Linked DNA regions of Solanum lycopersicum. The protein of the gene in region 1 interacts with the protein of each later gene in a pairwise test. Links are inferred from orthologs where the notes say so. Each region holds a gene or a part of one and is shown in the gene's direction. Other genes may lie near its edges. The genes, in order: abscisic acid receptor PYL3; TCP20; WPP domain-interacting protein 1; probable serine/threonine-protein kinase WNK5; PLASTID TRANSCRIPTIONALLY ACTIVE protein 6, chloroplastic; B3 domain-containing transcription repressor VAL1-like; transcription factor MYB111-like.

Region 1 (4,019 bases):
TATTCAATTTCAGTTTAATTTTCCCTTATGTATGATTATTTAGTGGTTGTTTGGTGATTTAATGATGGATTAGCAGTGGATTAGTAATTGTGGATTCTTTTATGTATGGTTTCACCCTAAAAAAAGAGTGAAGTATGTATTTGAGGAGATAATAATTCAATTTTAAAATATTTTTATTATTTATTAAAATAATATTTAATTTGATCTGAATATAATTAAAGTTGATTGTCTAATAAAAATATTTATCTCTAAATGAAAATTTTTAATTTCACTTTAAAGTATTTAAATTCATCGAATATCGAAGAACAAACAGATCATTGTATTAATAAGTGTAGGCTAACGACTTATCCGATTGGAATGAAGAAAATGATTGACTAGAATCCAAATGTTAACAGGATAAAATGTTTTGATAATGCATCTATTTTATTTTATGAGATATATTTCTTCTATACTTAGAATAATTTAATTTTGAATTCTTTACTTTAATTTATTCTGACATAATTTTATAATGGAATCATGCAAATATCATAAATGTTTTGAATTATATAAATTGCAAGAATTTTATTCCTTTTGTTTTACACTGAAATTATATGGTAGATAATCCTAACGATAATCCCAGTAATCATAATAATTTGATTTCGAACCAAACTATACAATTCATTCGTCTTTTTTAAAGTTCGTTTTAGAAAAAAATATATTTTTAATTCTTTTTTCATATGATATATAATTAAAATCAATAAGATTAAATAACATGATATTTTTTTCTTTTTTTTTTGAATTCTTTGAATAATCGGAAGTTGCTATAATTTCTGTCATTTCTATCCGACAGACTCGACTCAAAAGTGTTGAGTGAGGATCAATCCCGAGTCATCCGCGTGAATAACCACCTTCAAAATCAACTAATCATCTCGAATGACATATGAAATGTAAATCGTACTAGATAAATTCTATGTGACAAAATCAACTCAGAAAATATTGAGGGAGATCAATCTCGAATTATCCGTAGGGATAACCACCCTCAAAATCATCTGAGTCATTCCAAAGGACATATATTTTTAGTTTATAGACATAAAATTAATTTTTTTTTTCACTTTTTAAAATTTATGTCAATTCAAATAAAATAAATAAATTAAAATAAAAGAAAAAACAAATAATCAAGATACTTTAAAGCCGACAAGGGCACAATATTATTAATAAAGATTTTAACCAATTACTTATCTTATAACATCAAATATATTATTCTAAAATAACATTATCAATTTCTACTTTTGTAAAAAGTAGTTTTCTCCATTTTAGATCAAAATGTTAATTAAATTTAGAAACTTAATACCTACCCCCCACCACCAAAAACCCCACTTGCACAAATTATCTTAATTATTTAAATTACAAAAAAATAATAACAATAATGGAGGTTTATAGATGTGGACGAGAAAATAAAAATATATATAAAAAAATAAAATAACCCATCAAATTTAAACCACTCAAAAAATTATTTCGAGGTTCTAATGGCGGTGTCTTTTGGCTTTTTCTAAATTAATTTTTCTCATTTTCCACCCTTTTTTTTTCCAGATTTATTCGCCGTCGACGAGGTTGTCGGTGCCGTTGTTTTTTCTCCGGCGATGGTCAGCATCATGAACGTTGATAGAAAAATTAGTAGTGAAGATGAGTATATTAGGAGACATCATAGACATGATGTTAGAGATAATCAGTGTAGTTCATCACTTGTAAAGCATATTAAAGCTCCTGTTCATCTTGTAAGTAACCCCAATTAAGATTCTTGAAAAAAAGTTTGAATTTTTATGTTTATTTTCATTTGTTAAGCATATTAGAGCTCTTGTTGATGTTGTAAGTTGCCCCAAGTTAGATTCTTAATCAAAAAAGGCGGAATTTTTATGTTTATTTTCATTTGTTGAGCATAATATAGCCCCTGTTGAGGTTGTAGGTAGCCCCTATTCAGTGTATTGAAGAAAAAAGATTGGATATTTATGTTTATTTTGAGATAATTGATGCAACTTCTCACTTGTTAAGCATATTGGAGCTCTTGGTGATGTTGTAAGTTGCCCCAAGTTAGATTCTTGAAAAAAAAATGACTGAATGTTTGTGTTTATTTTCATTTGTTAAGCATATCAGAGGCCTTGTTGAGGTTGTAGGTAGCCCTTATTCAGTGTATTGAAAAAAAAGATTGGAATTTTATGTATATTTTGAGATAATTGATGCAATTTCTCACTTGTTAAGCATATTGGAGCTCTTGGTGATGATGTAAGTTGCCCCAAGTTAGATTCTTGGAAAAAACAATCTTTATAGTGTTTTCCGATAACATAGATTATGGATTTTAGTTTTCACAATAGCTGTGGATTTGAGAGAAAAGAGGGGTTGGTTACTGAAAAGAGAGCTCCGTCTTTATCTGTTGAGGAAGCTAGTTGCAGAGATGCCTTGAACTTTTCTTTGGACAATGTATTTTAAGCTGTTTATGAAAGAGAAAAAAAGCAGTGAGTTTGAAACTATTCAAGACGTTTGATTGTTTTATTACTTCATTTCATTGATGTTCTTCGAACTGTTCAGGCTTGTCAATTGATCACTGGAAAAGATTGAAGTAAGTAGACTATTTTGGATTTCTATGGTTTACATGTATTGTATCTAAAGACGGAAAATGGATGTACCATGTATGTTTTTTTGTTTTGAGAAAGGTAACATATTTATGTTTTCTTCACTGGGTACTTACTGGGTTTTGGTATATTTGATAGGTTTGGTCATTAGTGAGGAGGTTTGATCAACCACAAAGGTACAAACCATTTGTTAGCAGGTGCATCGTGCAAGGGGACCTTGAAATCGGAAGTGTTAGGGAAGTGAATGTTAAGTCCGGACTCCCAGCTACCACAAGCAAGGAGAGGTTAGAGCTTCTAGATGATGACGAGCACATTTTTGGTGTAAAGATCGTAGGTGGAGATCACAGGCTTAGGGTATGAGTCTTTTATCTCATCGTTTGATATGTATTGAATATATCCATAACTTTTCCCTCGTAGAATCAACCATGAAGCGTGAAGTATCAACAAGTGACCTATATAGTCAAGTTATTGCTCTATTTATTCATGAAGTCTTTCTTGTGATCTTTTTATTTTATTTCCCTCTTTTTGTGTGTATTTGGGTTTGGGGGGTTGGGGGTATTTTGTTGGTTGTTCACTTTGGATTCTTAGGCTCGTCACCATATGTTCTGTTATTATCCCGGGAAGGAAAAACAAGAGATGATGGTGACTGTCTTAATTTTTCTTCACATTACTTGCAGAACTACTCATCAATTATCACTGTTCACCCGAAGGTCATTGACGGAAGGCCTGGAACAATGGTAGTCGAGTCATTCGTGGTGGATGTACCAGATGGGAATACTAAGGATGAAACTTGTTACTTTGTCGAGGCCCTCATCCGGTGTAACCTCAAATCACTAGCTGATGTATCCGAGCGCTTAGCTGTGCAGGGCCATATGGAGCCTATCGACAGAATGTAGGTTAACAGCTTCATCATTTTGCCAAGCGTGCAAGGATTTGATTAGAAAGCGAGTAAGAGTGACTGGTACTTATGCCGGTCCTTCTCGATCTCAGAAGTATATATATCTTTATCTATATATACATATATATATGTTCATGCTTCCTCTTCATCATCTGTAAGGTCATCGCGGTTTGTAAAATGCAATCAGTCTATTTCATAATGTGAAGAACCAGCCATGCTGTTTGTGGCTGTGCGTGAATTGAGCTTGGGTTGTAAACATCTATGCTCATTAAGGTGCTGTTTCTTGTTATAGGATCATTGTTGTGTGGTTATGACACGCTATACGCTCGTGTATCTTTTGATTTTGGTGTGTCAATATGTACCAGAAACAGTATTTGGTATATTAAAAATAGGGTGCTTGCTTTTTGTTCTGTGTTCCACTTTCCCCTTGAGATTTGTTGTACCGACTCGAGGGTCCTTAGGAAAACACAGGGTAAAGTTTGTGTACATTTTATCCTATTCAGACTCTACTTATG
Region 2 (3,347 bases), about 1.6 Mb from region 1:
AATTAACTATTTATTAAGCTTTTCTTAAAAATATCAAGTAGTATCTATTTAAAATTGTGATTTTTTAAAAGATAAGTAAATAATATGAATAGAAGATGATAATGGAAGAAAATTAAAAAAATACTCAATCTAAGCAATTTGCGAGCCACAAATTTACCATATCATAGGTGATATAGGTTTTGAAACCTACTATTTTATCAGTCTCAAAATATTTTATTTTTTCCATTAAATAGTTATTTCAAAATATTTATCATTTTTAAAAATTCAAAATAAAATTAAAAAACTGATTAATCGAAAATATTATTAGCACTTAGAAGTTGTTTGGCATAGGATATCAAATAGATACAGTTATCTCATGTATTGTGATATTCCATAAGATTAGTTATCTCACCATGTTATTTGAGATAACTTATTCAATCATTATAATACATATGATGAAATAATTTTCCTAATTAAACGCATAATATAATACTCATAATTTTTTTTTGATATTATTATACTTTATTGTAGTGATATAATAAGTACTTTTTCATCTTTAACCAAAGGGCTTAGATTCAAGTATCCTTGGTTACAGAGTCACCTTTGTTAGGTAGTGTTTTATCCCTCAATGTGAGACTTTTCAAGATGAATTCAAATTTAGTCGAGCTGGAAACTAGATATCAAATGAAGAAAAAGAACGGACACCAAATGAAGAAAAAAGAAATAAATATAAATACCAGACATCGAATGAAGAAAAAAGAAAGAAGTATAGAAACTACCTCTAAAAAATGGATACCGGACATCGAATGAAGAAATAAGAAAGAAATATATAAAATACCTCTAAACTAGAGGTAAATTATTAGTTGCGTTCTTAAACTATTAACAACCTTAAAAACACTCATCTACTTGACTAACTAAATTTAAATACACCATCGACTCATCTCCAATCTGTCATACAACATACCAAGTGACTTCAAACTCTTATAAGAGCATGATATTCTTAATAAAAAGTCAAGTTAAGTGTTGAAAACAATCATAAACTTGATAAAAATTTAGAAGTGTATTTCAATTAGGATTATATTTAAGTTTGTTTAGTTAAAAAAAAACATTTTTAAAAATGATATTAATAATTCACATTAAATTTAAAAGTATCTTCCCTACTTAACCCCCCAACCCACCCCAAAAAAAAGAAAAAAAAAGAAAGAAAGAGTATACCTATAACCCACCCACCCCTCTCCCTAAAGTAGAGCTCCCCTTATTATGGTGGGGACCTTATTGTAGTGAAGGGAGAGAGGGCCACATTTTAGATCCATTTTTTCTCTTACACCAATTGTAGGACCATTTGTGGCAGTCAGTATGGTCCACTCAGAAAAAGTCACACTTTTCTTACCCCTACACGTGTCATCATCCCACTCACTCTTCCCTTATATACCTCTTCAACTTCCACCGTCTGATTCATACTCCCATTTCCCACTACTCACACCTTTTTTTTTCTTCTTCTTTTCCGAAAAAAAAAATTAAAAATATGTCCAGTTTTCATGACCCAGATGATGATTGTGGCACCTCCGAGCTCAGTAACGGCGCTGCCGGAGATCTAAATGACCAGAAAATGGACGGTCATGCAGTTGCCGATGACAAAAAACTCGTGTTTTCCGCTATGAAAGAAGAACCGTTTGATTCCGATCATCATACTTTGGTTCCATCAATGCCTATGCCGGTAGCTACCGCCGCCCCTCCGCGGAGGTCCTCTACCAAGGACCGCCACACAAAAGTAGAAGGACGTGGACGGAGGATCCGAATACCTGCTACATGTGCAGCTCGGATCTTCCAATTGACCCGAGAACTAGGTCATAAGTCCGACGGAGAAACTGTTCGGTGGTTGCTTGAACAGGCGGAGCAATCTATAATTGAAGCTACCGGAACCGGAACTGTACCGGCGATAGCAGTTTCTGTTAACGGTACTCTTAAGATTCCGACGAGTTCCCCGGCGAGTAATCCAGAAATCGACGAGAACCATCCACAGAAACGTAGAAGGAAATCATCAAACTCAGAGTTCATTGATGTCGGAAGTTTGAATAGAAATGCTGCAAATGTTTCACAATTTGCTCCGGTAACAACCACGCCGGCAACAATAACCACCGCTCCACCGCCGGGATTCGTACCGGTATGGGGTATGAGTAATGGTGGTATGATGGTACCATCCAATGCCATTTGGATGATACCAGCTACGGTCCCACCAGCTCAAGTAAACGTGACCAATAACAATAACGTCGTGCTCCAGTATCCTCAATTATGGACACCTGTATTTAATTTGGCCACGAGGCCAATACCATCATTCGTGACTGCAGCCACGATTAATACTAACGGTCCGCCAGCAATAATGATTGCAGGACCGTTATCAGTGAATAATGGAGCAGCCACAACCACGGGGCCTAAAATTGGATCGAACAAGTCTAGCATGGCTCCAGCTAGTTTAAGCTCTAGCACAGATAAAAATAACAACAATACAAATGATGTTAAACCTCATATGCTAAGAGATTTTTCACTTGAGATTTATGATAGAAAAGAGTTACAGCTTATGAGTCGAAGTGGAAATCATCAACAAGAAACTCAAGTTACATCTTCAGAACGTTCATAGATTCAAGTGATCGTCATAATTTATTGAGAATCAATATAAATATAGAGGCAGAGTTTAGGCCAAATATGCTCATGATACTCTTGTATGTACAAACTACTAGAGGACACTAGCTATTCACTTTTTATTTTGTTTCTTTTGCTTTTGTTAAACTAATGTTAATTAGAAGTTGAATGATGTGTAACTCTCTTAGAAAAATTACAAATAAATCATTGTATAATTGTCAAAGGAAACATTATCATCCTTCAGCTTTATTATAATTTAGTTAACTGTGTATTAAAGATTTGCATTATTTTAATTGTCATGTCTTTCAAGCCCTAAAGTTAGAATTCATTGAAGTGGAAATCAAATTACTTCCAATTAACCTAACCTACTTAGTGCTTCACTACATTATATGTCACATAAGTGTCATTCTTGCACTTACTAGGCATCAAATATTTGGTCTTTTATTTCTCACCCATACTTATAAACAATTTTCACAAAATATTACTTTCTTTCGTGGACGGTCAAAATAGAAAAAATAAGTTTTCTCGAAGTGAAGATATATTTGTTTGCTCTATTAGTGTTCATCCAACTCTTCCATACTATCTTTGCCCTCGTAATATTTATCTAAAAATTTCTATCTGCCAACTGGCAGCACAAACAAACTTAATTAATAATCTTACTAGACAAACTTTTGACCATGATCTGTTTTTGGGAAATGAGAAAAATTATAAAGTGAGTTTCTGAAAAG
Region 3 (4,288 bases), on another chromosome or scaffold:
ATTTTTCACCATTTAGAGTGGACAACTATGACCTTAATTTGACGTTAGTTGACAACTATGACCTTTAACTTTAGTTGTGCATAAGTAGACACTTAAAACTATAATCTTTAACTTTACGTGGCATCCTACATGTATTACGTCCTGTAGTACACGTGTGTCTACTTGTTCAATTTTATACAAGTGTAAGTGACTATTTGTGCACACTCAAAGTGGAAAGGCATACTTATTCGTTGAAGCCAATTTAAAAGTCATATTTATGTATTATTCTTTTAGAGTGGGTACCTCTTTTGTTGTCACTCGAGGTACAATATTAGCTTTAGAATCAATTAATTTGGATTCGTGTTGGAAATTGCCATGAGGTGAAGTGTTCCTTATTGAAGGAAACAAAAAGATAGAACAATCCATTTATTCGAAGAGAACTCTTTTGTTTTTTTGAAAATAAATGTAGATCTTATTCGTGAAGATAGAGAGATCGTTTTTCAAAAATAAATATAGATCTTACTCGTGAAGATAGAGAGATCGTTTTTGAAAATACAAATATATGGGAAGGTAACAATTAAATGCAACATGTTTCTCTGTCAAATACTCTGGCAAAGTGCCTAATTATTTCCTCTCACACAAAGAAGATTCCATCAATAATTGAACACACAGATTTGACCTCCACTTAGTTATTTCTGCAGTGTCATTTTCCATTTTTTTCCCCTAAAAAACACTGCATCATGTGGGTTTCCACATCATCTGCACACTACTTTGCCCCACTTTGGTCTCTTTATCTTCTTGGCTCTCCCATGTTCTATCCACATCCTTTTATTATAATCGTGACGTCTGAGTTAGTTTATACGTATCTCGATTATATTTTAATAAGATATCTACTAATCTTTACCTCCCATCAATACATATATGTAAACTTTTTTCACATAAAGTTATGTACAAATGAAAAGATATTACAAAATTTATATTCGATACTTGCATAATTCTTAACTTAGTTCATTAATCTAAAGGAAATATTTCACGTGGACTAACACAACTTTATTCATTATAAAAAATAAGTACAAAGAATAGTTTTTAACCAATTAAATCAAATTGGTTGTGTTAAATTTTTACAAAACTAATATGATTTCTTTTTATATATATATTTTTAATGATTTGATTGATATAATAAGTTAAGCTAACGTTTTAATTTTGGTTACCGTTGTGTAATAGCATGTTATAGAAATTATCACATTTGTACCAAACAAAACAATGTTGTTGATGAAACGGTCACATTTGGTATTTAAGTTAAAAAGTATAATCTTCTATCGAGATTTCAAATCGTGCACTACTAATATTCGACCTTTCTTAGTGATATTGCACTTAGATATAGAATATATTGTGACTATGAGTTATACACGTTATGAATTTTAAACATCAAGTTAGAAATTTAAGTGGAAGATAATAATAAGCGAGTTTATTGCTTATTGAAATTTCAAATCGTGCATCATAAATATCGAGTTATTGTGTAGTGATTCCATCGCAAACATAAAGTAATCCCCCAAATTCTTAATCTTTCGTAATGTCAATAGTAAATTAGAAAAAAAAATTGAAGTTGTCAACTTCTTCCTATAGTTCATATAATAATTAATAAAATTATTGAAAATAATAATAATCAATTACGTATTATTAACAACTCCCAACCCGACCCGATCTACCCCACTCCTTTTCAAGTCGTCTTCCCCAAATTATCAGTTGTAGCAATTTTGTGGCTATAAATTTCTGAATCCACATCAAATCTAGGGTTTCCATATTCCTCAATTCCATCTCATTTCTGCAAATCCATCGATCATGGAGGAGAAGGTATGAACGATTTCGTATTCTTTTTATATAGCTTCACAAATTTATGAATTCATTTTTAGTTCCAAATTGAGCATAATCCATTCATTTAGCTGAATCCACTTATTTTGCTGTTGTTGTTAGTGTTTTTAGCTGGAATTTTTACTCAAGCTATGCAATTCAATTTATAGTGAATTTTGATAGATTTTCAGTTTCCATGAACTGGAATGATGGTTGTTTGTTTGTTCTCGATCTTGATCTGAGTTCTTCATTTCTGTTTTTTTCATTTAATAATGAGTGCAGTTTAATCTGCTTATATTGGACTTTCTGTTTATGTAGTGTTCTGTCGCTTTCCCAACTTTTATTTGTCTATTCAGTTCATTATCAATTTACTGGATTCATCTTTGGTTCCAGATTGAGTATAATCGATAGTGATGATTTGTTTAGCTAAATCCAATTAGTTTGTTGCTGTTAGTGTAATGATCGGATAATCCAATTCATTTATCCAAGTTATGTAAGTAAATTCTCGATCTCGATCTGACTTATTCTTCTTCTTTATGTTGTCTAAAAGGCTAAAACCCTGAACTTTATGCTGTAATCGAACTTGATTGGTCAAAGTTTGGAGCTTTAGTTGGTGGAAGACATGAAGCAATGACCACCACACTTCAAGATTTGGATGATCCAGATCGGAACAAGGTTGAAAGCAATGGTTCCAGTGTTATTAATCACAATACCCCTATTTTAGATGAGTCTAAAGGTAAAGGTATTGAAACTGCGGACCCAGTGGGTTCACCTCCCTCAGTGAAATCCTCACCAACAGCTAAAGGATTTGGCTTGAAGAAATGGAGGAGGATCAGGCGGGAAGCACACAAGGATGAGGACAGTAACACAGACAATGCTAAGTTGTTGAAGCGTGGTTTGTCGAGCTCTGCTGCAAACTCAGCAAAACCTGTACATTTGTCCACTGGATCGATCCGAAATAGTGATGGATCTGTTTCTTCAGTAAATGCACTATTGGGTAGCCCTGATGTTCTTGTTGATGGCTTTGGTCTTATTGGTAATTCTGGGTTGGCGATTCATCCTATATTTTTGGGTGGAACAGACTCGGAAAATAGTGAGGATCGGAGTAGTAGGTCTTCGACTGCAGCCAGTGCTCCAAAGTCAAGGTACGAAGCACCTGTTTTCCATGGTTATATGCCTGTTAAGAATGGGCCAGGTACTTTGGGTGGGAAGATGGGTACTTCAGCTCAGCAATCTCATCGGGGAAAGGGTCAGGCTGAAATTAGTAAAAAGCCTAGAGGAGAAAGGGTCAAAATAGAGAAGGAAAACTCTCATTCAAGCATGGAATCCGACTCACAAAGCTCCAATTTTCTACCTATGCAGAGTAATAATCATGCAACAAGTAATGGTATGAAAGGTGGAAGCTCAGTGAATAATGATGGACAATTCAGTGATGAAGTTCTCACCAGAGAAAGACCATTCAGCGAGGAACTTCAGACTGCTCTAGACAGAAGAAATGATAAGGAGTGTGAAACTCAAGAAGATCTAGGCGTTGAATCCGCCTGGGAGGTTAAAGAAGAGAGGAGTGGGTATCAGGGGTTGTCCACAGATCATGATCCTCTGCTGGAGTCTATCTTCACCCTTCAAGCTGCTCAGGAAAATCTTGAAAGAGGTAGATCTTCAGTTTTCTTTGAAGTATACGATTTTGAGCCTATTCTAGTATGTTCTTTTTTTGGTTTTGATTATGCCTTCTATTTTCTGCTTGGAGTCTTCAGCATATTGTATGAAGCAAATTTCTTTTTTGGGTGGAAGTTTATTCTAAGTTCAAAGAAGTATTAGAATGATTGCAGTCATTGCATAGTTATGTGCGACGTCCCCACACCCCGCGACCCGGACGCGTCCCTGCTTTCCCCAAATTTGAACATTTTGTTGTCATGCCCAAGAATTTAGGACTGGCATTGCTTCAGGAAGAGGTGACAGCAAGTCATGAAATTCGATCTGATGTAGTATTGGTAATCTTAATGGTTATGTACATAATAGAAGGATTTGAGTGTGTTCTAATGGTTTTCGCTATGATGCATTTATTGCTTCAAGAATCAAGATTATGTCAAAAGAGTTAAGGTTATTGAAACAATACCATTAAGTTCTTCAGTTTGCCTAAAATAATCCTTTAACTTTGTTCGTAGCTAGTACAACAGATGTTGGTTATGCTTTTTTTTATTTTTTTATGATGAAATATTGGTTATACTCTTTGAAAAGTTGATATCTATTTGTTATAATAAATTCTGATATTGCAACATTGAAGGTGGATAAATGTGTTGCTATTTATTATTTTGATATTGTTGGCTTGCTCAAGATATGTAGTTTAAGCACCAGGACGTGCATTTTCATTGGCTGTAATTAACATGTTCTGTTCTATTTTTTACCACAAAAAAGGTTTTGGAGGAGAGATAATTCTGTCCAATTTAAGGCATGAATA
Region 4 (3,970 bases), on another chromosome or scaffold:
GAAATAAACGAAAAAAAGTCATACTCAAGCTTTTTTTTTCCTTCCCTTTTTAGCTTAGCATCTCAAACAATAGTAATAATGAATTATCTATATTCAAAATATAACTATAAAATCTCTCAGTGTTAATTATATCTATTCAAAATATAACTATAGATCTCTAATATATAATAAACCTAGACGAATAATGTCGGCACATATACGGTTTAATATTTATCTTGATATATATTTGTGTGTATTTATCTATCTATCTATATATATATATATATATATATATATATATATATATATTTGTGCGAAAAATGAAAATCATTTTTTAAATGTCAATTTGAAAGAATCAATTACTTATGATGTGAGTAACTAAAATATTTTTAGTAAATATATATTTACAACATATTATTCATAGGTCGCATAAATTATGACCAATCGAATATACACTATCGTACGGAAAATGACTCCAAGAATAAGGTAGCCAAATTTTCAACTCTAAGCTAGTTACAACACTGACATTATTGGCCAGTATTTTGTATATAATTTATACACTAATGAGAAAAATGTCATTAGAAATTTCCAAAATTGCATTTTTGTGTTCATCTCCTTCTTTTAAATCGTACTAATTCATCGTCTTCATCACATCATATTATTTCTTTTGGGAATAATGTTCCATCAATTTATATAAAAAGAAAAGGAAAAATGTGTAGTTTATGGGTAAGTAAAGGGGGAAGATCACAAAGGATGAACTTAACATAGGAATGAAGAATTTGGCATAAAAGTCATTTATAACACTGAGATTGCAACCAAAATCATGTGGAATAATATTAAGAATAGGACTATTAGTTGCAATGACAAAACCGTCCTCAAGAAAATGAATTTATGACCTAAAGCACACATGTTAGTACCTCCACTCTTCTAATATAGTAGAAAAGAAAAATAGTTATTTATAATTTCTAATGAACTAATAATGAGATTGTGATACAAATCATTAAAAAAAAAAGAGAATAAGTTTTAAAAGAAAATGCTTGCTTAAAAGGTACCAATAATGATATGACAAATTTAGAGACCCCATTAATAATTAATAAATTAAAAAAGCTTGGCCAATCGTTTCTAAGTACTAACTTCTATAGTTGACCTAAAACTGTTTCCAAATAAAACTTACTAGAAATAATAACAAAAAAGGACATATGACCAAATTGGAAATAAAAGGAAAATTTAAACAAAAAATTACACATTGGGATATACACAAAAGGTCAACAGTGTTACAGTAATAAAGTCATCTCAAAAAGGCCATATTTCACCATAAACACCCCACCCTTTTGTTAATCCCAAAAGTCTTCTTCTACAAAATCCCTCTAATTCAACCCTAATATTTCACACAAACACAAGATTAAAGTTTTCTCCATCTCTTTTCTCTCAAATTCTATTCTTTTTATTAGTTATTCCATATTCGATCACATCGCTCTCTGGTCCAAAATCTCATTTATGTGATTATCATCCGCCACTCAAGAAAAATGTCACTTCCAAAACATGGCCATAGATTTTTCAAGTTTAGAATCCCATCAATTATATTTGTTGTCAAAAAGTACCCCACTTTTTAAAATTCCTATTGAAAAGTTGTTGTCTACTTTAATTTAGTTATATTCCCTTGATTTGTTGATTGCATCCTCACCTCTTATAGTGCTTTTTCTTTTGTGTTAGACTTATTCCAAATGATTTGTGGGGATTACGAGTTTTCACGTGAAGTTGTAGCCATGTCTTGGATTATGCTAAGGATTGATTACTCAAGGCTCTTTTGGTTATTATTTGGCGTTTTCTCTTATGAAAATCATGAAGGAAAGCCTCGGATTCAATAGCATTAGCTTATCTATTATCTTTTTAATTACATCAAGAGAAACTACATTAGTTTTGTGTTTTTGTTCTAATAAAGTTTAGTGATAATCATATATATATAGAGAGAGAGAGAAAGTAGTTGCTTGTTAAATATATTTTGTTGGAGTTGTTTGCTTCTTTGTGTATGTATAAGGATTTGGTTGAACATGCTTAAAGTTGGGATGAATGAAATGCTTGATGTTAATGGAACAAATTTGGAGTTGGAGTATGTGGAAGTGGATTCATCTAAACGCTATGGACGTGTAAGTTTTTCATATCTTTTTTTCCTTCATATATATTGTTGTTTTGCACTTTATCATCAATTTGATAAATTAAATTTAAATCATTGATCTCTTTGAGAATTACTCTATAGACCAATGAAAAGTCCACTTCTCTTCTTTTTCATTTAATTTTCTTGTTTTTGCGTTTAAAAGTTCATAGCTCTTTTGTCATACTTCTTTTGGGTGGAAATCTTTTACTGCTGGACAGCATTTAGTTGAATTTAATTAGAAATATTTTTTTCCCAATAAAGATAAATATAAGTAAAGGAGCTAGATCTTATCATATCAATTCTTAAGAGGTAACAAATTTATATTAATTAACAAATAAAACTATAGAAAACTAGGAAAAATTCTCAATAGAGATAATTAAGTACAAGCAAAGGGCTATAAATTTTATCATCCCAATCCTAACGAAGTAACAAATCTATCAATAAGAATGAAAGAAAATAAAATCTAGGAAAACTAGATGCTTGTACACTACAATATTCCAATGAGGACTGGTAATTAGATAAAAAAAACTAAAATATTAATTATTGGCGATTATTTTCTAAATTTCAGTGGGCATTATTGCTTATGCTGGTAAAAATTAAATAGGTAGCTATGGAAATAATTGAAACGTGGCTCAACCTAGTCCTACATGACTATTTATAAATTGCCATTTTGATTATCCTCAGAAATAGCATGATATAGGGCGGCAAATGTTGGTTGAAAACATCCAAATTAAAATGGCCGACCTCATCATTATTAATTAATTAAGAAGCAAGTTGACTTGTAGAATATATATATATAAAAATTTTATTTGTTAATATTACAGAAGGTGGTTCTCCCCGTGATGATAAAAATATTCCTCCTTTTATTTTGTTTTGGTAGGTGACAAACTTGTGTGTTATAGGGATTTTGGCTCATTGACTTTTTGGATTTTTTCCCCCTTCCTTTTTATATTAATCTATCATAATTAGGTTGTAGAGGTATAGAGGGCTTGGCTTGACCCTACAATATTATGTTATGCACAAAGGAAATAACATGAGGAGGACATGAAAACCTTGTCTCTAGTCTATAAAAAATAGATTGATAGCCTATATAAAGTAACAAATCTTCGGCTAGCTAGAAAATTGACTTTTGGAGGATATATACATTTGGTTCTAGAGAAATTAACTATAATTATACTGTTATAATGTGACAAGTTAAATGGAGTGGCGCGAACAATACAAATTCATATATGGTTGATATTCATGATAAATTGTACATTTTTATGTTTCATTTGAAGTTTTCAGTTTGACTGCTAAGAAATAAATAAATAAAATTTAAGTTTTGTGATCTTAAATTAAATATATTTGTATAGTTCTTTACATCTTGTGGTTTAAAATGTTAAAATTAGACTAAATATAGAAGGGATAAGAAGCAAGTATATCCCTCCCGGAATCTCAGAGACACATCTTACTTAAACTAAGGTCCTATTATCCTTTTGAATTCATTTTTTTTAATTTTGTACACCTTTTGGCTTACGTAGCATACTTCGTGACCCCATGCACTTGAAGCGCGTGGGAGATATTTGGATGTCACATAAGTTAAAAAAGTGTATAAAATTACATAAAAAATGGATTTAGGAGTAATAGAACCTTAATTTAGTTAATGTGTGTTTTTGTGATATTGGTTATAGTTTAAGGGGTACTTGTACCTTGTCCCAATATACAAGAAACACTCTTTTTTAAACCGACTAACAAAAAGTAAGACAATTAAATTGGAATGGAGCGTAGTTAATTACTTCATCTGTCCCAATTTATATGACTTATTTTCCTTTTTAGTCAGTCCCAAAAAAATAACAT
Region 5 (4,235 bases), on another chromosome or scaffold:
TATCTATAACCTAATTGGACCTCCATAAGCCCAGAAGGTACATTAATGCACAATTGGAAAGTAAATAACCTTAATGGACCCTCATAAGCTCGATGAGATCACATAAGAGCTAAAGATAATACTAGCAAGGATTAGAAGTATTTAAGAACTATAACGTCCGTCCTCAGACTCAAATTGCGGCGAAGGCAACCCAAAGAACCCAATGAAACCACAATGTCTAGACTTAAGCCTGACAGATAGAATTGTACCCGGACTCAAATTGTGGCTTGTGGTAATGTGTTAGGGCTTCACACCAAGGTTGTTAGAACTGCGCCAAGGCCTCAAACTATTGCTAAATTAAAAGAGATGCGGTAGGGCCTCAAAGAGTGGTTATAAGAGATGTGTTAAGGCCTCGAACAATGGCTATTAGACTCTGATTGTGTCCCACTAAGGTTACATAAGGAAATATATGGACGAACAGTTACACGAGTTGAGTTGTCGCATAGCTAAGGATTCATATTATCATTCCCAAGTCTGCTACATCACTCTAGTGAGAGCTAAGTCGTCTGAAGCGAAGGCAGGGGATTTCTAAAGCCTAATAGCTCCAAATAGCAAGTCTAAGGCTATCACTAGCCTATGCCTAGTCTAAGGCAAAGAACAAGCCATCAATATCACTACAATCAAACAAATAGATACAACAGGGTAAAATACAACATGTAAACTAAGAAGGAATGCTCAATTTCCCAAAAACTATCCAAAAAGGGGCTAAAATCACGTGTTCTATCAACAAAACATGATTCAAGATAGATAAACCTCCCAATACTAGCTAAATAACATGAAAATAGCAACAAAAACTCAATCTAAGATCGGTAAGTCGTATTCTACCTCAAAATTGATCATGCGCGCTCCAAATTAATCACTAAGCAAGAGCTTAACCTTCTGAATTGCCTCCAATTGTGGTCACACTATCAAATGAATGACCACGACATTAATATAGACTTTTTTTGACACCCAAATTACAATAATTGAAGATGAAATTTAAAACAAATCAAAATTGCATTTTGAGAGATCTTATTCAACCGAGGAGCCTGTGCCCCCAAAAAGGTCACAATCTAAGCCTTAAATCCACCTTAAAAGCTCATACACTAAAACTTCAAGAAATCACCATTAAAGAGATAACAAAGGAGGTTCTGAACGAGAAATTACCTCCAAAAGAAGCCCATAATGCCCCCCCCCCCCCCCCCCAATAATCCTAACTCAAAAACCCAATAGCAATTAGAAACAGAAATCAGCTCAATCGGAGTTCTAAAGATCAAGAAATCAAGCTTTTATAATTGATTTTATATTACAAAAGTTTCAGCTAATCTTTTTTAACATATATAGAACAAAGTAAGTGGCACGAAAGTCATTATAAAAAAAACTATATATAATAAATTTATGTGGAACGAATTTAAAAGGGACATGATAAAACGAGGTCAAATAAATTGAAAATAAATTATTTTACTACATGAGATAGGCAGGGCAAGGTTAGGTGGATCGAAACATTTGTAGCTCTTAACGAATTTAACACGCCTCACCTCGCCCCGCATCTTTGCCATCCCTGCTTTCGAGGGGGCTTAAGTATCAAATCTAGGATATGTAAGGACCATAATATGAGTAACAAAAAGTACAAATCTAATCCACTCCCCCGCTTCACTTTTTTTTCCTCTTCACTCACTGAACAACTATGAGCGCCGGTCTCCTCTTGCCGCTTCCGGTGAAGCTTTCAACCTTCTCCACTGCACCTTCTTCACTTTCTACACCGACCCTTTTCACCGTTTCATTCGCTAAGACAATTTCCAACAACCTCATTTTTGTTAAACAAAGTTTGAGCTCAAAAAGACCGGATTTCAGGGTGTTCGCGGATGACGGAGATGCTGACGGTGGAGGTACAGATGAATATGACATGGACGAAGATGAAGTGGAAGAAGCAGACAACAAGAAGGACTTTGATGTTGACTATGATACCCTCTTAGGTGGTGGTAGTGCTATATCTTTAGCTGTTGCTAGGGGTGATGATGACATTGCGATGGTGAATAGCAGTAGCTTTGTGTTTACTCAAGGATGGGATTCGGAGAAAATTGTGGATTATAGGATTAAGGAGGAGGAGTTTCATAAAATTTGCCTTTTCGATTGTGATTTCTTCATTCGTAAACCTCCTGATCCTGATGACGATGTTTATGATTTTCGTGAGGTTAAATTCTGAGTCTCTGTCTCTTTTCTTTTTTTTTTCTGCTGGGAGCATTAGTATGTTTGCAGTAGAATCTGCACATTGGAATTTGCATATATGGTTTCTTTTTATGGATAAAATATCTTCATTTTAGCGTTTTGCCTAGTGTTATATGTAATGTTGTTCGGAATGCATATTGATGTAAACACTTTGTTGATTTCTGTCTTGATAAAATGGTTAACATGGTTGTCCAAAAGGGATGACCTAGAGGCTGAGTCAGGGGAATAATGTACTGTTGATCACTATCGGAATAATAGCTTTCAAACTTGGTGCCAATCTGCTTCAACCTATGAGCATAATAACATTGGCAAAACCTGTGATTGTGGACTGGACACGCTGTTGGGTGGATTACACCTCAGATGTGTTTTTTAAAAAGAAATAGGGATTTGTCCTTCCATGTTACATGGACTCAAATATGGGTGTGTATTTGGTATGCCAATTGATATATATCCTGGTGAGATTGTCAATTTGATAAAGTTTATGGAGTATTTGAAGGACTGCACCTAGTACTACCGCACCCGTGTGTATGTTCAACATGGGTAGGTCGGCATATGAAAAGAACATTAGACCAAAGTTTGGGGTGTAGGAGAATTCAGATAGTGAAATTTGAATGTTAATTACCGTTTTAACAATGTATGTGCTAGCTAATGAAGTATCATTTCTATTCGGTATGCAGATGTATGTTACACCTCCAGATACTGATATATATGCCATTCCCAGAGTTCTTGCACCAATGCCTCAGAAGGTTTATATATTTATGATTGTACATGTTGAATTCTGTATGACTTACTTTTGAGTACTTATGATTCAACTTACAATAGATATACTGGGTTTAAGTAACTTCTTGATCAGCAATATGTTTTTTCATGTAGTATATCAGGTGTGCGATGAGTGATTATGGGTGCTACAATGTGACAGAGCCTCCCATTGATGCACCTAGAGATCCCATGTATAAATCTGAGAGGGAAATTATGAAGGTATTGATGTCTTCTGGTTCAACTGATTAGACATTTGTTCTGTCATATGCTGTATATGCAGTTTATTTTGCTAAAGGTATGAAGCTTGTGAAGTAGTATTAGTTGTTATGTAAAATGCAAGCTGGACTACGAGATGAGCTTTCATTGAGACATAAAAAAATATGAAAGGAAAAAGTTCAAGGAACAACACTTTTAGTATTCTTGTTTTTGTATCTTCTTTTCTTTATTTTTGCTTTCAGGCAAATCTTCCTCCTTAATCCTTGTTCTTGATTTGTTTTTGGAGGGAGGTCGTAAACTTTATTACCCATTTTTGGTGATCATTTTGGATTTTTTGTTGCTTAGGTCTTATATATTGATCTCTTGTACTCCATCCATGTATCCTGAAAAATGTTCATCAAAATTCTTATGCTTGTATCACACAACTATGATGTTCAAGTAGTTAATCCAGACATCTCCTCTGGACTGGTATGAAGGCTATGTTAGGAAGGTAAGAATGTTTAATCTTGCATTCTATGGGTCGTATGATCAGCATGTTTCTGTTGCAGGTATTCTTGACAAAGCACTACAGGAATCGCAGGGCAGGTGATCCAGAATTTGCTCTTGATTTCGAAGAAATATACGTTATTGATTCTAAAACCAAATCAATTACAAGAGCCAAAGTAGTGGTAAGGAATCATTACAAATTTGATTGAACACCTTTTCTTCTAGATTAGCTAATTTTTTATTGATCAAAAGTAACTTGGCTGATAAAGCGATCATCTTTTATTTCGCGGACATAGCTTTTTTATTTTCATAGCTGAATTTGCTGCCTGTGTAATTGGAGTTCCAAAAATTGGATTGTTAATTCTTTGAAGAGATGTTTAACAATTTACACCGCTCAACAATCAATTCTGACTAAATTATACGGTGCAAAGGAATACAGAAATTTGGGGAAATGGTTGTTTTGTTCAAGGGAAAGGGTGCAGGGTTCAGGAGGAGTTTGCATGGAAGAGGGTAAGAGGCAAAGGGGG
Region 6 (3,500 bases), on another chromosome or scaffold:
TAGATATTAAGATAAAATGTTTAAGATTATTATAGCATGGTTAATAAAGAAGTGTTTATAATAATAATTTGGAATGTAACGATTAAGTAGTGGTTTCAAAGACGTGAAATAATAAATAATAGTGGTATTTTACTCCTTTTAATTTAGGTGACACCATTTGGTTGGATAAGAAGTTTAAGATATGATTAAGAGAGAAAATTCACGTCTCATAAACTTGATAGGTGAATAGATTTTGAATTCTAGGAACTTGTGAAAATTGTATAAAATAATATTTATTAGTAGAATGGTGTGAAATATTTTTGAATACACCAAAATGGAAGGTTGTACAAAAATTGGCATAGGATTACTAATATAAATTATTAAAGGAAGAATACTTTTCATCAATGGAAAAATGTCAAACTTATTGGAATGGATCAAAAAATTAAATTGGTGATTGTGGTTGGTTACTTGGTTTTAAGGTTCATTGCAGTAAAGAAATGATATTGAAAATCTAGAATTGTTCATTTACACATTAAAATTTTGGATGAAAAAATATTTTGTTAAAGGAAATGGTCAAAGAAAATTGTAAATAGAAAGGTAGATGGGTCAAGATATTTGTATAGTTATATAACATATGTACATACTTTCCTTTATTTATTTCTGTTTCTCTAATCAATCAATAAATCAACCTCTTTTTTATATAAACTTCTTTGTGTTTTATTGACGTTTAGTATCATACATATTAACTTGTCAAATTTATCTTTTGCCCTCTCTTGGCAAGCTTACTTTTTAATTGGCATATATTCTCTATTTTTAGTTGTCATGTACTTAAAAAAAATTATTTTACTCATGATCGCTCGCTTCTAGTTATAATAATTAGGTTCAGTTTGTGTAGAGATGTGTATGTAGTAAGAGGTAGAGAATCTCAAGTTATTGAATTATTGGAATAATTCTTGCAAATGAAGCAAAGCAAAAAGTGCGATTATATATTCCACTATAGAGCGATCCAACTACCGTCGAACTTCTCTATAGCAACCATCCTTTGACCCTATACCAACATTTCACTATAACGGCCAAGATTGTTTTGGAATTGATTTTTCATGTTACATTATATTTAACTTTCTATAACAACATTTCACTATAGCAACCAAGAGATATTGAGGCAAACAACGCCATTATAGAGAGGTTTGTAGTTAAAAATGAAGCTTTAGTAGTATTAGTAGTTGGTTATTTTAAAGATTTGTGGATGTAGTTAAAATAACAGGGTCAAAATTAGCTCTCCAATAATGGGAGAAGAGTGAAGCCAATGGCAGTTTACTTTCATGCTAATAACCATCAATGGTGAAAATTCGGACGGCCACTGCATTATATTACTTTCAAAACTTGACATAGTAATTCTGCAAATGAGACAGCTTTTGCACTTGAGAGAAATGGTCTATGTATCTTGGTTTCTAGGTCTCTTAGAATTAGGCAGTCTTGTGTCTGTATTGTGTCCATGCAAGTGTCATTTCCATGCTACACAGACACAACAGGTTGCTCTCTTTTTTCCTTTTTACATTTTCTTCTGTGCTTTGACATTTGATTATTTGATATTCAGACGTTCACTTGCCATTCTTGATATGTGCTCTTCTTGGCAAGCTTACTTGGCATATTTGAATACACTGTCTTATCTTTGCTTGTCATATTTTAAGAAAACTTTCTAAATAATATTTTAAAGATATGGGTTAGTATCTAAAATGCAGGGTCAAAATAATTTCTCTCCATTATGGGAGAAGAGTTAGGTTAATCGCAGTTTGGCCCCATGCTGGAGTACTGAGTAACCATCCAGAGTGAATTGTAACCTTAGTATATCACTTTTTATAGTATATCACTTTTTACCCTTCACATAGTAATTCGGTAATTGATGCAGCTTTTTCACTTAAAGCATACATTCTATGTGTTTTTTTGTTTTCTGGCGGTATTATAACTATATATCTGGCGTCTATATTGTGCCCTTGCAACATTGAAAGACAATCCCACCAGAAAGCCAAAACCTAATCCCTGAAAGAAACAAACAAATTCAAGATATTGATGAATGAATTTTCTCTTTCTTTTAATTCACTTATCTAATCGGAGTTCGTTTTACGTGTGCTTTGAATGTGTATGCCCATTCACGTGGTATTTTACTAATTGTTGCATTCCCCGAAAGTATTCTCTTTGACAAATGTAGCTGATTGTTAGTTGACATAATTTGAGTCTTAATCATCTTATAAATGCTTTTGCAGATACCTGGTGATGATTTTCCTATTGGCAACTTGGGATCTAAGAGTGCAAAGCCACTGGGCATTGAGAATAAAATAGATGAGAATGACTTTGAACGAAGAAGGTTTATGCAGACCAATGAGCCTGGTCAACTCTTTCATACGCAGAGGAATGACAAGAAACAAGATCCAATGCTTCCTATTGGTAATGTCGGCACATGCTTTTCGAATTTGAATCAGCAGAACATTGGGGCTTCTCTCTTTGGCAAACCCGATAATGAGAGACCAAGTCAAGGTGTTAAAGATATGTATGATTCGATCAATCAGCCGTCTCTAAATTTTTGTCTAAGTACTCCAATTGGTACTTCAAGTTCAGGACAGCCTTTTCTTGGTGGAGATGTTGAAGGAAGGGAACAAAGCAAAACTTCTCCCTTCCAACAGGGCCAAAGGGCACGCCATATATTGCCCAAGCCCCCCAAACCTAGTCCCACCTCAGGTTCTGAATCAGTCAAAGGAATGGTTTCACAAGCACGGATTGCAAGGCCACCTGCTGAAGGGCGTGGTGGACGCAGTCAGTTACTGCCTCGATACTGGCCTCGGATTACAGACCAGGAGTTGGAGCAAATAGCTGGAGAGTATCCTTGATAACATATTGTTTTTGGTTGCTATTATCTTTGAGTTGTGTATTGCTCCTATTTTGTTTTACTTTAACTTGAATCTCAGCTTAAAGTCTACTATTGTACCATTGTTTGAGAAGGTCCTAAGTGCCAGTGATGCCGGACGAATAGGGCGTCTGGTGCTTCCCAAAGCATGTGCTGAAGTAATAGTTACTTCTTCAGATTTTTATCTTCTTTGTGAAGTTTAGACAATATGATATCTTGCCTGTTATCTGTATGGCCTCGAATGGTTAGCTTGCGATGCACCTTTTCTGCTTAATCAATGCCAATTCCTATGCAGGCATACTTCCCTCCAATTAACCAATCAGAGGGTCTACCTATAAGGATTCAGGATATTAAGGGTAAAGAGTGGACATTTCAATTTCGATTTTGGCCCAATAACAACAGCCGGATGTATGTTTTGGAGGGTGTTACCCCTTGTATACAGAATATGCAATTGCAAGCTGGTGATACTGGTAAATATCCATGCTTTCATCTTATAAAAAGAGATATTTTTTCATCTCTGGCAGAATGGCTAGTTATCAGACTCGCTGTCTTTCCTTTAGTTTGGTCATCAATTGATTCTGTATTTGATAGTGATTATGATTTTCAGATAGAAATACTA
Region 7 (4,104 bases), on another chromosome or scaffold:
ATTAATTTTACAGGATTGACTACTATTACTCTCTTAAATTTTACAGGGTTAGGTTATGATGGTTGAGGTTGAGATATTAATAACTTAGCTTTGATTTAATATTTTTTAGATTTAAGAGATTAAAATGAGTAACAATTATTTATCTAAATCATATTTGACCAAATTCTTATTTACCTATATTATTTTATGGATGAATTGTTATCCAATCTATTTTTAACTCAATCCAGATCCAATTCATTCAAAGTCAATGCAATCAATCCATTTGTTACCTCTAATAGACACTTAAACTTAAATCAAATTAAACAAATAAACACGCACGCCTTACATGACATAACACACATAGGACACCACACAAAACATAAAATTATTACACATAAAATAAATACATTTATCTATTTAATCTTTTTATAAATTTAAATATATATTTGTATAAATTCAATGTTAATGGATATAAATAATAGATAATATCAAATTAAAAGACATAGTCACTATTAAAAAACATTCACTTATTCGGAGACCAGTCAACAATATAACTAAATATTTTTTGAATCCTCTTTGTCTTCTGTAACTACACCAATATATTCACTTATTTCATATTATAAGTATTATTCAATAATAAAACCCTCCTTTTTTCCTTCCTTTAGCTCCGTCTCAAACATCTACTTATTTTTCTTAATTATTTTTTATGACAAAGGAAGCTCGCCGTTGTTGTCTTTTAGGTGCGTACAGGTTAAAAATCTCCTTTCTTTGTAATAGCTCGCAAATCACATGAGGTAATCACACTAGGCAATTCTTATGCGACGAGCTCGATCCAGAAGTTAAATTCTTATTTTTGCTGGCAAGAGGTTTCGAACTTGAAACCTCCAATATGGAAGTCCCAAACTTACGCCCACGTGATAGAAAAGAGAAATTAAAGATGGAGAATTATATCATTAATTAAGTTGATATTAAGAAAGATAAAAGTTGAGATTACTTCTAATAATTGAGTTATTAAGATTATTATTATTTTTTTGGAATAATTTTGAGTAATATCAATGAATAAGGTAGACACAAGACGTGACGGTGCTCATGCCACGGCTTTCTTCTATATTGCGTGGTATTTTCAATCTCCAAATAATTCCTCTACGACTGACACATAATGCAAAATCTTCCACATTTTAAAACTTTGGTTTATTTTTTTCTTCTTTTTTCTTTTTACCTTCAATAAAGATATGTCCTATCCTTAAAAGCTGTCAACAATTATGTCATAGGTTCTAAAATTTTTATTATATTTTTTGTAAAATAAAAGACTATTTTGAATAAAGTTTAAATACGTCCAAATTAGCATCATCATAAAAATAGGAAGAGGTGAGTAGGTGAGATGGAATTAATTAGTGCACCAAACTATTTGTTTCTTCAAAGTTCTACTATCTATTTATTGATATTATGTTTGGGGCTTTTTCATCATTTGCACTTACCAAAATTATCTTACAAAGTGTAGTGTATAGTATATAGTATAATAATTATATAATACTATACACTAAAAATTAAATAATGGGAAGAACACCTTGTTGTGAGAAAGTAGGTCTTAAGAGAGGGAGATGGACTTCAGAAGAAGATGAAATCCTCACAAACTATATTCAAGCTAATGGTGAAGGTTCTTGGAGGTCATTACCCAAAAATGCTGGTAATTAACATCGCTTCGCTTTGCTTAATGTGTAATTAACTCGTCTAAAAGTTTCTTTTTTATTTATTTATTTATACAAAAATCAGTGAGATACTACATTTTTGTTTACTTATACTTTCAAAGTATATGCTAGCTACATTCTTTAACTGAGTATGCCAATAAAATTTTATAGTAGCATCATGAAATATAAATTAGCTAAATGACCTAAAATTTTAGCCAGAATGTAATTTCTAATATTCTTTTATTTTAAAATAGATTCTATTTTTTGGTTAATAAATTTTAAACTTTAAAAAGTAAAAAGTGTTTTTTTAAAATAAAATAAAATACTCCCTCCGTCAGAAATTGTTTGTCATGTTGCGCTTACCGAAAGTCAATTATCGATATTTTAAACAAAAAAATTAGATATTCTAAAACTATAGAAAAAGTACTATAAATTACAATTTTTTGCATATTAATATGATAAGAAAATACATCTTAAAATATTAGTCAAAATTTTATAATAAAACACTAAAAATAATAATCACGACAAACCATATCGAAAAAGTTTGTTTAATCAAATTTTCCGGCCTAAAGGAATTTTGCCTTTTATAATGGTAAAAAGTAACGTACGACCTAGGGACTAAGTTGGCTAATTAATATCATACTATTCTAGGAGTTATTTATACTAATTAATAACATTTTTGTCAGAAAGAGCTGTAGTAGAAGAGTTAAATAAAATAAAAATTATGAGCTAACTGATTGTGTTATGTATTTTGATTTAGTGAATTATGTGTTCAATGGTTTGTTGCAAAGTCAAAAAAGTTTTTATTTTATTTTTGTGGTCCTTTGATAGGGTTATTAAGATGTGGAAAAAGTTGTAGACTCAGATGGATTAATTATTTGAAGAGTGATTTGAAGAGAGGTAACATAACCTCTGATGAAGAAGCTATAATCATCAAGTTACGTGCAACTTTGGGTAACAGGTTTGTTCGTTTTCATTAAACTTACAATTTTCTATTCACAATAAAAACTTAAATATAATTGTATAAATCTGAATGTTTAATTTGGTTTGCAGGTGGTCTCTGATAGCAGAACATTTACCTGGTAGAACAGACAATGAAATAAAAAACTATTGGAATTCTCATTTGAGACGAAAGGTGGATAGCTTTAGAATTCCAGGTGATGAGAAGCTACCACAAGCAGTTGTTGAATTAGCTAAAAAAGGAACACAAGTAAAACATATTACCAAACGAGGACGCAGTAGAAGAAAAATAATTACTAGAGTGTCAAATTCTACGAATGAAAATATCGAGTTTGATCATATTGATGACCAGATGTTATGGCATGACGATATTGTGCCGATGGACGCTAACTATGAAGTGCTAGATCAAGATTTTATTACAAATTGTTTATGGGACGATCAAGGAGAAAATCTCGAAATAACTGATGATAATGATAATAATAATAATAATAATGAAATCTTAAGTGAGGATAATTATGGTAAGTGGGATTGGGAATATTTAAGTGAAATATTGAATAATGAAATATGTGGAAATAGTACTAAAGAAACAGAGCAAAATAATAATAATAATAATATGTCATTATGTGACATTAATGACAATGTGCAGAACTGCATGAACAAAGAAGCAACACAAGAAAATATTGATCCCATGCAGAGTGATTTGGTAGCTTGGCTTTTGTCTTAATTTTGGAAGTATTACAATTAAGGAGATAATTTATATTATTTATTCCACAAAAATAAAGATCAAATTATGTATATTACTTTCTTTTTTTTTCTTTTCAAATTTCATTTATGAGATGAAAATATAATATGTTATTAGTGTGGTAGAAATAGACTAGGCATGTACAGTGGGTTTAAGTGTATTATTTGGTTTTTTTTCTTCTTAATGATGTATATATATTATTTATAAATGAATTAAATAAAAAGTTGTTTGCGTACTCTTCTTTTAAAGTATTATTATAAATATTTTTAATTTTTCTAAGAGGAAAATATAATTTTCTTCCTCATTTGATTATTTTTTTTTTAGAGAAAATGTATGGATCACTATAAATTAGAAATTCTTCTTTCGTAGCAAGAACATAATAACATTTACGATGTATATTTTTAAAAAATTTATTTTATGGAGAGATTTTTTCTCGATAGTCTTGATAAAAAAATTATATTAGCTTTATATTAAGGTCAATTAGAGAAAATGTACTAATATTTCTCATGTCTTAATTATCCTTTCACTGTGTTGCTCTTCATTACAATTTTAATTTTTAAATGATTAGCTTTCAATCATGTATCACTTTTTCTTCTCTTTATGAAATTAGAGAAAATGCATTTTTTCTCAACAGAATATATACATACATCCTTTTAATCATAATTAATACCCCTATCTATCTATTAATTGACTTAAAAATTATAAAAAAAAATTAATATATGAATGACTTATTTT

Evidence for each region.
Region 2: the proteins of abscisic acid receptor PYL3 (region 1) and TCP20 interact in binary tests that used the Arabidopsis thaliana proteins (3 or more experiments, as listed by UniProt). The link is inferred for Solanum lycopersicum from reciprocal best matches to the Arabidopsis thaliana genes RCAR1 and TCP9.
Region 3: the proteins of abscisic acid receptor PYL3 (region 1) and WPP domain-interacting protein 1 interact in binary tests that used the Arabidopsis thaliana proteins (3 or more experiments, as listed by UniProt). The link is inferred for Solanum lycopersicum from reciprocal best matches to the Arabidopsis thaliana genes RCAR1 and WIP1.
Region 4: the proteins of abscisic acid receptor PYL3 (region 1) and probable serine/threonine-protein kinase WNK5 interact in binary tests that used the Arabidopsis thaliana proteins (3 or more experiments, as listed by UniProt). The link is inferred for Solanum lycopersicum from reciprocal best matches to the Arabidopsis thaliana genes RCAR1 and WNK5.
Region 5: the proteins of abscisic acid receptor PYL3 (region 1) and PLASTID TRANSCRIPTIONALLY ACTIVE protein 6, chloroplastic interact in binary tests that used the Arabidopsis thaliana proteins (3 or more experiments, as listed by UniProt). The link is inferred for Solanum lycopersicum from reciprocal best matches to the Arabidopsis thaliana genes RCAR1 and PTAC6.
Region 6: the proteins of abscisic acid receptor PYL3 (region 1) and B3 domain-containing transcription repressor VAL1-like interact in binary tests that used the Arabidopsis thaliana proteins (3 or more experiments, as listed by UniProt). The link is inferred for Solanum lycopersicum from reciprocal best matches to the Arabidopsis thaliana genes RCAR1 and HSI2.
Region 7: the proteins of abscisic acid receptor PYL3 (region 1) and transcription factor MYB111-like interact in binary tests that used the Arabidopsis thaliana proteins (3 or more experiments, as listed by UniProt). The link is inferred for Solanum lycopersicum from reciprocal best matches to the Arabidopsis thaliana genes RCAR1 and MYB111.

What each region holds. Positions count from the first base shown.
Region 1 is NC_090807.1:67,225,026-67,229,044, reverse strand, and holds abscisic acid receptor PYL3, read left to right. Parts: upstream 1-1,219; 5' UTR 1,220-1,619; coding exon 1,620-1,754; intron 1,755-2,744; coding exon 2,745-2,960; intron 2,961-3,283; coding exon 3,284-3,502; 3' UTR 3,503-3,909; downstream 3,910-4,019. UniProt on the Arabidopsis thaliana protein: Receptor for abscisic acid (ABA) required for ABA-mediated responses such as stomatal closure and germination inhibition.
Region 2 is NC_090807.1:65,638,203-65,641,549, forward strand, and holds TCP20 (TCP transcription factor 20), read left to right. Parts: upstream 1-1,436; 5' UTR 1,437-1,504; coding exon 1,505-2,617; 3' UTR 2,618-2,847; downstream 2,848-3,347.
Region 3 is NC_090809.1:846,055-850,342, forward strand, and holds the start of WPP domain-interacting protein 1, read left to right. Parts: upstream 1-1,488; 5' UTR 1,489-1,833; intron 1,834-2,380; 5' UTR 2,381-2,460; coding exon 2,461-3,481; intron 3,482-4,288. UniProt on the Arabidopsis thaliana protein: Mediates and enhances the nuclear envelope docking of RANGAP proteins mediated by WIT1 and WIT2 in the undifferentiated cells of root tips.
Region 4 is NC_090808.1:13,977,158-13,981,127, forward strand, and holds the start of probable serine/threonine-protein kinase WNK5, read left to right. Parts: upstream 1-1,170; 5' UTR 1,171-2,030; coding exon 2,031-2,126; intron 2,127-3,970. UniProt on the Arabidopsis thaliana protein: Regulates flowering time by modulating the photoperiod pathway.
Region 5 is NC_090803.1:56,299,551-56,303,785, forward strand, and holds the start of PLASTID TRANSCRIPTIONALLY ACTIVE protein 6, chloroplastic, read left to right. Parts: upstream 1-1,435; 5' UTR 1,436-1,705; coding exon 1,706-2,212; intron 2,213-2,924; coding exon 2,925-2,993; intron 2,994-3,120; coding exon 3,121-3,225; intron 3,226-3,770; coding exon 3,771-3,890; intron 3,891-4,235. UniProt on the Arabidopsis thaliana protein: Essential protein involved in plastid gene expression and in chloroplast biogenesis.
Region 6 is NC_090805.1:50,704,604-50,708,103, reverse strand, and holds part of B3 domain-containing transcription repressor VAL1-like, read left to right. Parts: intron 1-2,243; coding exon 2,244-2,854; intron 2,855-2,942; coding exon 2,943-3,039; intron 3,040-3,176; coding exon 3,177-3,351; intron 3,352-3,500. UniProt on the Arabidopsis thaliana protein: Transcriptional repressor of gene expression involved in embryonic pathways, such as LEC1, ABI3, and FUS3. Repressor of the sugar-inducible genes involved in the seed maturation program in seedlings.
Region 7 is NC_090805.1:3,706,665-3,710,768, forward strand, and holds transcription factor MYB111-like, read left to right. Parts: upstream 1-1,416; 5' UTR 1,417-1,533; coding exon 1,534-1,666; intron 1,667-2,498; coding exon 2,499-2,628; intron 2,629-2,720; coding exon 2,721-3,351; 3' UTR 3,352-3,604; downstream 3,605-4,104. UniProt on the Arabidopsis thaliana protein: Flavonol-specific transcription activator involved in the regulation of several genes of flavonoid biosynthesis. Activates the expression of CHS, CHI, F3H and FLS1. Controls flavonol biosynthesis primarily in cotyledons and leaves. Confers tolerance to UV-B.